Danio rerio: one gene and its partners. The protein of the gene in region 3 interacts with the protein of the main gene of each other region in a biochemical or structural test. Links are inferred from orthologs where the notes say so. Each region holds a gene or a part of one and is shown on either strand. Other genes may lie near its edges.

What was found.
Region 1: the proteins of mtor (region 3) and stat3 form a complex in vitro, tested with the Homo sapiens proteins (2 studies listed by BioGRID, with this or other methods). The link is inferred for Danio rerio from reciprocal best matches to the Homo sapiens genes MTOR and STAT3.
Region 2: of the proteins of mtor (region 3) and rps6kb1a, one has a biochemical effect on the other in vitro, tested with the Homo sapiens proteins (18 studies listed by BioGRID and IntAct, with this or other methods). The link is inferred for Danio rerio from reciprocal best matches to the Homo sapiens genes MTOR and RPS6KB1.

What each region holds. Positions count from the first base shown.
Region 1 is NC_133178.1:15,780,339-15,782,659, reverse strand, and holds the end of stat3 (signal transducer and activator of transcription 3), read right to left. Parts: intron 1,159-2,321; coding exon 1,052-1,158; 3' UTR 612-1,051; downstream 1-611. UniProt on the Homo sapiens protein: Signal transducer and transcription activator that mediates cellular responses to interleukins, KITLG/SCF, LEP and other growth factors. Once activated, recruits coactivators, such as NCOA1 or MED1, to the promoter region of the target gene.
Region 2 is NC_133185.1:33,095,896-33,099,562, reverse strand, and holds part of rps6kb1a (ribosomal protein S6 kinase beta-1), read left to right. Parts: intron 1-1,370; coding exon 1,371-1,478; intron 1,479-1,566; coding exon 1,567-1,629; intron 1,630-1,730; coding exon 1,731-1,808; intron 1,809-1,916; coding exon 1,917-2,024; intron 2,025-3,667. UniProt on the Homo sapiens protein: Serine/threonine-protein kinase that acts downstream of mTOR signaling in response to growth factors and nutrients to promote cell proliferation, cell growth and cell cycle progression.
Region 3 is NC_133183.1:56,036,565-56,040,231, reverse strand, and holds part of mtor (serine/threonine-protein kinase mTOR), read left to right. Parts: intron 1-47; coding exon 48-156; intron 157-2,250; coding exon 2,251-2,483; intron 2,484-3,667. UniProt on the Homo sapiens protein: Serine/threonine protein kinase which is a central regulator of cellular metabolism, growth and survival in response to hormones, growth factors, nutrients, energy and stress signals.

The DNA of each region.
Region 1 (2,321 bases), on a different chromosome or scaffold from region 3:
TGTTATTCCATAGAATCCCATTCTAATGTGATCCAAGCTCTGATTGACTGCTGGTCGCAGAGGCCTATTAAAAGGAACTTACGGAAGGGTTCGGGGAGCTCATTTGTGGTGCAAGGGTTGCTGGGAGTGGAGAGCTTCTGGATTTTCCCTACCTCTCCGGCAGACGACCAACCTTTAGTCTTGTACAACTGTTCATGCTTGCAACGTTTTGAGAGTTTGAGCTTGTAGAGGTGGCCTGCCTATTTATTTGATTACTTTTGACTGTTTATATTTAAGGAGGAAGGTAAGCTTCTTGTATTTTTCTTTAAATATACATAAGTAATTTAGTTCATTTACTTTGTCTTTTGTTTGTTATTTTGGCCTATTTTTCTATAATAAATCTATCAACCACTCTCATCTGAATGTCCGAGGGGGATCTTTTGCATCAAGTTTTTTGTTTTGTTTGGGAAATCCACCACCCACAACACTTTTTCCCCCGTTTATTAAGCCCATGTTGTTTTCCCCTAGTCTTGGGGTGTAATAGAAGCAGACACGCATGTGGAAACGGTGGGTGGGGAGAAGTAGATTATTTGCATTTAAAGACATGCTACAGAAACAGCTACACTGTATTCAGACACCGAAATGTGCAGATTCTGGTTACTATAATAAATAATCTGATGAGTATTTTGAGCTGAAACTTTACAGACACATTCTAGAGACACCAAAAGATTATTACATCCTGTAAAAGGGGTAAAATAGGTGCCCTTTAAGATTTTGTAGATATTTGGACTAGAAACAAGACAAAAACTTTAAACAAGAAAAGCATTTTTTACAGTGTAACCATTATTATTTTTTTTTTTTTAATTTTAAAGTCAACTTCAGTATTGTCGAGGTTGAAATGAAAACTTTAGCTTGTTTGCACTTTTGACTGACTGTAAAATCAAAAAAAGAAATGCAAAATTTGGCTCGGAGAGAGAAAGCAGTTGTAGCACCTAAGCTCACTATATACATGAAAATTGCTTTTCCCAATGGAAAAAAAAAAAAAAAAAAATGAAACTAAAATCTTGGAAAACTAAGCATTTCGGCAGGTGTCCATATCCGAGACTGTGGAGGCTGCAAACCCTTCTCTCATGGGTGACGCATGATCAGAGCTCAACTCCATGTCCAGAGTGAGGGATTCTGGGGAAACATGGCAACACACAGTATTATAAGAAGGTGGGTTGGCTGTAATAAGTTACTTTCATTAAATTACTTATCCTCAAAAAAAAAAAGTAAGGGATTTTTTTTGTTTTTTGTTTTTCAGCCAATGATAAACTTCCTGTGAAAGGTTAATTTATTTATATATTATTTATTTCTTGCCACATCAGCAACTTATGGCTATTTCGTGGCAAAATGGATGTACATAAAATATTAAATGATAAAAACAAATTCATATTACAAAAAAAAAGTTACATAGACAAATATATAAAATATTAATAGATAAAATGGCACACATTTCTTTTTCAAAGTTAAATATGATATTTCAGTTCAATTTTTGATAAATAATTTAAAACTCTTCCGGGTGGTACCTTTTTAAAGATGTCCATCAAAATACCCTCCTTATAAAAATTTTGTCAAATGGATTTTAAACTTCTACATTCCAACAAAATCTGTTTTATGGTAAGAGCAGCCTGGCAGTACATTACATTTAGGTGATTCTTCGTTATTCAGCAAACCTAAAATGTCCGATTCGACATCTGGTATAGACCGTTTGATCATGTCTGGTCTCAAAACTATAATTTGCTAAATGCCTTTTGTTTATTTACGGGTTAATTTCATGTAATTTATTTTTTATGCAGTTGTCCCATTCTCTTTGCCATATTTCGTTTATGTACAAATTGATTGTGGGTTACAAACAAGGGTAAAAGGTTAATGTGACTATTTTCAATTTCATATGGCTTCTTTTACATCATCCATGTTGTAATGTAGTTAAAGTACATTCAGTTGAATAGACTTATTCATTTATTTAGTTGTTCAAGGGAAATCGAAATTAAAGACCAAGTAACCACTAGCAGTCAGGATCAGCAGGCGAGCGCAGAAACTCTGACAGTAGAAACACTGGGGTAAAATAAACGGCCACATTTTTAAGATGTGATGGCGGGAAATGGAATTTGACGCAGTTCTTCTTGGCCGGTGTGAGATCCACTTTATATCCTATATCTATCAGGCAGTGAATATCATTAATTTTTTAAAGAAATCAGACCTTAACATGGCAATTTTATAAATGGAAAGATTGCTGAGGCTGGCTGACTAAAATTAAAAGTCCATGTGCATATAACCCATTACAGTTACACAGAAACTTA
Region 2 (3,667 bases), on a different chromosome or scaffold from region 3:
TATTAAATGAAAAAACACAGAAAGCATTAAAGACTAACTTGCTGGAAGCATGATATTTTCATAAGTTTCTATTAACTTGCAAAATTGTTGTTAGATAAACCTATACCTTTAAGCAATTAATCAATTATAATTTAAAAAAATGTGCAAATGAGGGAGAGGATTTAAGACATTTTTGTTTGTGGATAAAGAATTTCGCATAAAATATAAGAAAATATATAAATATATTCTTCATTTTTATTTTTGGGACTAGAATAATAACAATTAATATCTTTCATTTTAAAGATTTGTTTTTTTGATTGTGATTTATTCAAATAATTATGTAAATCTGACCAAAACTTTTGTGAGATTTTAAATGTAAAAAAACACGTGAGTGAAAGTTTCCTCACTTTCCTGACAGAGAGAGCAAGTATCTGCAATATCAGTTAATTCTGAGATAAATGCATTGACTGGGTATATTTTGTGAAGAATTTTAAAATGAATTTTCTTTGCTTTGGGATTACATATTTCTATGGGAGAAGTCATGGCTGAAGTCGTGGCTGTTTATGCCCCATTGACTTCCATTATATTGATATTTTTTTATTCCAAAGTCTTGACACCATATAATCATGCATTTTTGATTGTTGGTGGTTTTCCCTGTTGGGAAGAGGTAAAAATTGTCATTTTCACTGTTGATCATCAGTTGGCAGCATTAAACCTTTAAATAGGCCTGGGCAAAAAAAAGTCTTGCTGTTATATAGAGTTCTATGGAGTAAAACAACAGATTATAGTGTGCGTGTATAAATATACTTACTATGATTACTTTGCCCTGAGAGCAGGGGTGCTTATTTAGATTCTCTCTGACATATCAAGGTAAGTGGGAAGGAAAGGTCTCACAGTAACAGACACACACTATACTCAAGATAAAAGCCAGAAACTTACATTTTTTTGTACTGCAACTGATGATCAACAGCAAAAAATAAAAAATTTGTCTCTTCGCAACAAGGACGCATGCATGATTGTAGGGTGTCATGGCTTTGCAATCAAATAATGTCATTATAATGGAAGTCAACGGGGCAAAAACAACCACTAACATAACGAAAGAGTAGTCAATTTCCCCAGAATGTGTTAACTTTTTGAACATTTTCAAAGCATTTACCCAAAATATGTGTCAAAAATCGTACCATTTGCTGAAACGCAAAGAAACTTGTGGGCAAAGTAGAAGTTAAAATCAGCCCAGAGTAGATGAAAACAATCCTGACAGCACACAAGGGGTAAAAACAAAGTAAACTTTATTGTGAATATTTTAAATATCTCAAGGAGTTGTACAGGGAATACAAACTTAAGTTTACCCCGACTGCATGCTCTTAACATTTAAACCCTTTTACTTTCAGCCCCCGTTCACAGCGGAGAATCGGAAAAAGACCATTGACAAAATCCTGAAGTGCAAACTAAACCTTCCACCGTACCTCACCCAAGAGGCTCGAGACCTCCTCAAAAAGGTAAATCAGTCAATCAGCTTTAGCGAGATATTCAGTCTTATTGCTTAATTAAACTGAGTTTGTGTGTGTGCCTGCTATTTGCATCCAGTTGCTGAAGAGAAATGCATCGGTACGGATTGGAGCAAGTCCTAGAGATGTTCTAGACATCCAGGTATCTGCTTTTCTGATACTTTGAATCTATTAATCATGCATACCTGACATTTACATATATAATGGAGTGTTCTGTATTTTTAAAAGAGCATTTGTTTTTAGCGCCACTCTTTCTTCAGACACATAAACTGGGATGATCTGCTGGCATTCAAAATTGATCCTCCATTCAAACCCTTTTTGGTAGGATCAACTCTCTGCAGATTTCTCTTATTGCTAATAGTCATGTGTTGTGTATGTTGTAATATGTTGTGTTGGATCACATTGCCTCACAGATATATGTTTTTGCAGCAATCCGCAGATGATGTTAGCCAGTTTGACTCAAAGTTCACTAGTCAGACTCCCGTGGACAGCCCTGATGACACGAAGCTCAGTGAAAGCGACAACCAAGTCTTCCTGGTGAGTCTGTGGTACTTTTTAGGCTAAATTTATCTCCGTGTCAACACTATACCTCTGTCGTGTCTCCAGCTGAGTTGCATTTATGTTTGTGCAATCATCAGATCATTTATCTAGAATGGATTTGAGCAGTAGGATGTGTATGTTAGATCAAAGATGTAGTTAAACTGTGATGTTTTCTATTTCTAAACATTTTCAAATTTGATTTATTTCCATGATGATGAATTTGAATATTCTACATAAATTCTCCAGTCTTCAGAGTCACATAATTCTTCATAAATGTTTCTAACGTGCTAATTTGTTTCCCAAGAAATATGGAAAACTTGAAATTTAAATAATTTGTAGCAATTTAATTGTCCTAACCTACTTACTCCCAGGGCCATTTTATATTGAAGTTGATATTTAGCCTCACCATGTTGGTGTTTGGTAGCATCTAGTTTTTATGAAGTGGGTTGTTAGCCCAATGGTCAACCCCCAACCTGGAGGAGCATGGCATACACGCATACACTACATGGGAGACACACTACATACAAACTCCACGCAGAAATGCCAACTGATCCAGCCGGTGCTCGAACCAGCAACCTTCTTGCTGTGAGGTGACAGTGATGTCCACTGCGCCACCGTTTCACCTCAATTTAATTGTCTTTACTTTACGTTATTTTTTTATTTTTTTGAAAATGTAGTTTTTATTGGTTTCCTCTTAATATAACATACAGTACCATACAAAATGCACACAATTTTTTTCACAGTTTAGAAAAATAAACTGTTAAAAAATTAGAAAAAATAATTAGGAAAACAGTAAGAGATGCATAAAGATGATACTAAAGAGCACAACAGGGTAAACACGTTTGTTGTTTAGGTGAAGAAATGAAATTCTCCCATAGATCAACTTTCTTATCAGTGTGTCTTTAAATGTCTTAAATCTCAAAAACAAAATTGTAGGCCTTAAAACATCCTAAACCTACTCACATTATGTGTTGTGGGTCTTAAATCTTTTTTTAACAGGTCTTAATTTTCCTTTGTCCATGTATAGCTACCCAATCAAGGCCATTAACACCCATCCACTCACCAACAATTCATTTCAATAAAACTTTTAACTTTTTGTTTAACTCTATTTACCATGATGGTTGAATTCATTTCCTTTATTTACTGCTGAGGAAGCTGACCTGGACAGATTGTTGTGCATACATAGTTTTTTATAGTTTTTTTAAACCTTCAAAACATTAATATATATATATATATATATTTAAGAAAGGTTATGTTGAAATAATGTGTATGTATACAAATAGAGCTTGCTTGCTTTGACACAATATTTAAAATATTTAACTCAGATTTAACTCAAATATTATTGCATTTATTCAATTAATTAAAAAAAAGTTTGATAGGGCAAATAAACATTTTTTTCCAACTGAGCCATTCGACAAAATCCTTAGCATTTAGCTAATGCTAATGCTAGATAAGTCTAAAATTTAATTCATAATGGTCTTAAAAATGTCTTTAAATGTCTTAAATTTAACCTGTAGAAACCCTACTTATGACTGCCATTCATTTGGGCTAACGACACATTCTCAGTCATTAATTCCATTCATAATTTAAGTAAAGAGCATTGTCTTTCCAAAACCTCAGTATTATACATGCTGCTATAG
Region 3 (3,667 bases):
CCGAGCAAGACATATTTTATTTGCTGTGTTTTTGTTTCATACTCAAGCTGAGCCAAGATGAAGCCACCACTTTCTACGATGAACTGAACCACCACATTTTTGAGTTGGTTTCCAGCTCAGATGTGAATGAGAAAAAAGGCGGTATCCTTGCCATAGGTGAGCATGAAAATCACTTTATATATATATATATATATATATATATATATATATATATATATATATATATATATATATATATATATATATATATATATATATATATATATATATATTTATTTAATTTTTTTAGTTTAACTTTTTTTTTATTGATACATATCAGCAGTGGCGTTTCTAGTTTAAATGGCACCGTGGGCGAACCCCCCCAAATACATTCCATCCCCTTAGTAATAAAGACGCTATGTGGTTTACTTCATATATATTTTATATATATTTATACACATTTAAATATATATATAAAAAAAATTATATATATATATATATATATATATATATATATATATATATATATATTAAATACATTTAAATATATTTCTTTATTTTTAATAAACAACAATTTATTTATATTATTTTAAACAATTACAATTATTATTATTATACAACTATTATTCTAAATAAATAACAAATCAATCCTAAATGTAAATGAAAACAATGTAACTGCAGAGATATGCTAAGATCACTTTTAAATCTTCTGCATGAATATTAAACTTGATAACTATTGAATACAAAAGATATGTTTTATAGCATTATCTGTTGTTTTAGACCCGACTCATGGTCGAGAATGAATGTTATTAAGTGTCATCATCTCTCCTTTCTGCTTCATAGCCATGCTCAAAAAAAGATCATTATCATATAATAACTTATAATAATAGCTTTGTTGACTTGCAAAACTAGCTGCGTGCCGGCACCGCTGTTACTCTGGTTTCACAGCACATGAGCGGCGTGTTTTTTATTGGCGTGCATGTAAACAACTAGGATTCACACCATGAGCAGGAGCAGTGCGTGAGGCACGCGGGAACTGTTTTCTGCATACATACGTCAATTTGTTTTGACCAGCGTTGTTTCAGTTGCAAATAGACAATAATAAACTTGCACGTGCAAAAGATGCAAAATGTGAATAACCCCTAACGTCTTTATTCTGGGATTACCACCCCAAATGAATTCACTTGCATAAAGTAAATTGTATTCTAAAGCTTTACTAGGCCACATTTGATTGAAACTGGGGCACTTTTTTTTGCACCATCTTCATGTGCCACCCCCAGCAAGATGCCGCCCTCGGGGACCGTCCATAATGCCCATGCCTAAATCCGCCACTGCGTATCAGTTACAGTATCAAATATTAACAATAATCAGTAAGACATCAACTGTTCCAATCTATAGTAGAAAACAAAATTAATTCATATTTTCTTTTTCTCTAAACCAAACAGTATATAATTGCACCCAAAAGAATATTTAGGGCAAAACACAAAATGTATAATAATAATAATAATATTAATAAGATAAATAAAGTAACATTATAAATAAAACTAACACATATTCGGCTATACAGCAATACAGAAAAAATATATGTATACAGTTAAAGTCAGAATTATTAGCCCCCCCATTTGAATTTTTTTTCTTTTTTAAATATTTCCCTAATGATGTTTAACAGAGCAAGGAAAGTTTTACAGTAGGTCTGATAATGTTTTTTTCGTCTGGAGAAAGTCTTATTTGTTTTATTTTGGCTAAAATAAAAGCAGTTTTTAATTTTTTTAAACCTATTTTATTTTTTTAAACCTATTTATTATTAGCCTCTTTAAGCTATATTTTCATTTGATAGTCTACAGAACAAGCCATCATTATACAAAAACTTGCCTAATTACCCTAACATGCTTAGTTAACCTAAATAACCTAGTTAATCCTTTAAATGTCCCTTTAAGCTGTACAGAAGTGTCTTAAAAATATCTAGTCAAATATTATTTACTGTCATAATGGAAAAGATAAAATCAATCAGTTTTTAGAGATGAGTTATTAAACTATTATGTTTAGAAATTTGTTGGAAAAATCTGCCCTCCGTTAAACAGAAATCGGGGGGAAAAAACCGGGGGGATAATAATTCAGGGGGGCTAATAATTCTGACTTCAACTGTAAATATTTTGTTATTTATATTGTAATAGAATATGTAAACTGAAGCGGTAATATTACGTGTGACCATTAAATAGCATGGATTGAAATGTGTTTTCTTTAGCTAATGTGTAATATGCATCTATCCAGTGAGCCTGATTGGAGTGGAGGGAGGAAATGCCACCCGTATCAGCCGCTTTGCCAACTATTTGCGGAACCTGCTTCCGTCCAGTGACTCAGTGGTCATGGAGATGGCCTCTAAAGCCATGGGTCACCTGTCCATGGCGGGAGACACCTTCACTGCAGAGTATGTGGAGTTTGAGGTGAAGAGAGCTCTGGAGTGGCTGGGAGCAGACAGGAATGAAGGCAGACGACATGCAGCGGTGCGTAGATCATATTACTATTTAGGATGCTTTCACACCTACACTTTTTTTTCGGAACGTATCTTGTTTGCCCAGTTAGCGCGGTTCGATTGGCATATGTGAACAGGGCAATCGCACTCTGTTCCGCGCCAAAGTAATCGCTCCGAGATCGCTTGAATTAGGTGGTCTCGGCTCGATTGAAACGAACCCTGGAGCGGTTCGATTGCAGTGAGAAAGCGATCCGATCCGAGCGCGGTTATATCACAGTGTTTTGTGCATATGTAATAGGCTTACGGCTATATGAAGAGAGAGTTATGAGTAGGGCAGGAAGTTTCGCGAGTCTTCGGATGCCCGCAAACACAAACGAACTGCTCCAAGAGCAAAGAGCAACAATGTAACAATTGTAATCTCTGTTTCGGAACAACTGAATCGATTCACAGGTGTGAAAGCACCCTTAGTTGACAACTAAATTGCCCGTTATACACTATTATCAACCTTAATACACTTTTTTTTAACCAGTCTCACTGTTATGCTGAGATAAAAACCTTATTATAAAACTTTAATGTCTGAAGACAATTTTCTAACCCATTTTAAGGAGAGACAATGCCATTTTATGAAGTAGAAGTTGAAATTATTCATGACCAGAAGCACAAAACCAGTCATAAATGTCATATTATTATTGTATTATTGTTATTGTAAATAAATTATATAAACATTTGCATATCAGTCAATAATATTACTGAAATTAATATGAATAAAAATTAATCTACACACAATTTAATAAGTAAATAGATAAGACTCAATGATGGGCTAAAAACTCTGCCCACTAATCGCATACAAGAGCTTGTATTTACATAATTTATGTATACTGTGTCTCATATGTAAATATAAATAACAAATAACTTAAATGTGTACACACACATACATTATACGCATTACCTGACAAAAGTCTTGTCATCGATTCCAGTTGTAAGAGCAACAAATAATAACTTGACTTCTGGTTGATCATTTGTAAAAGTATCAGAAGGTAGATTTTTCAGATGAATCATCTATTGAACTGCATCCCAATCATCACAAATACTGCAGAAGACCTATTGAAACCCACACGGACACATGATTCTCACAGAAATCAGTCAAGTTTGGGGATGAAAAAAATCATGGTTTGGGGTTACATTTAGTATGGGGGCATGGGAGAGATCTGCAGA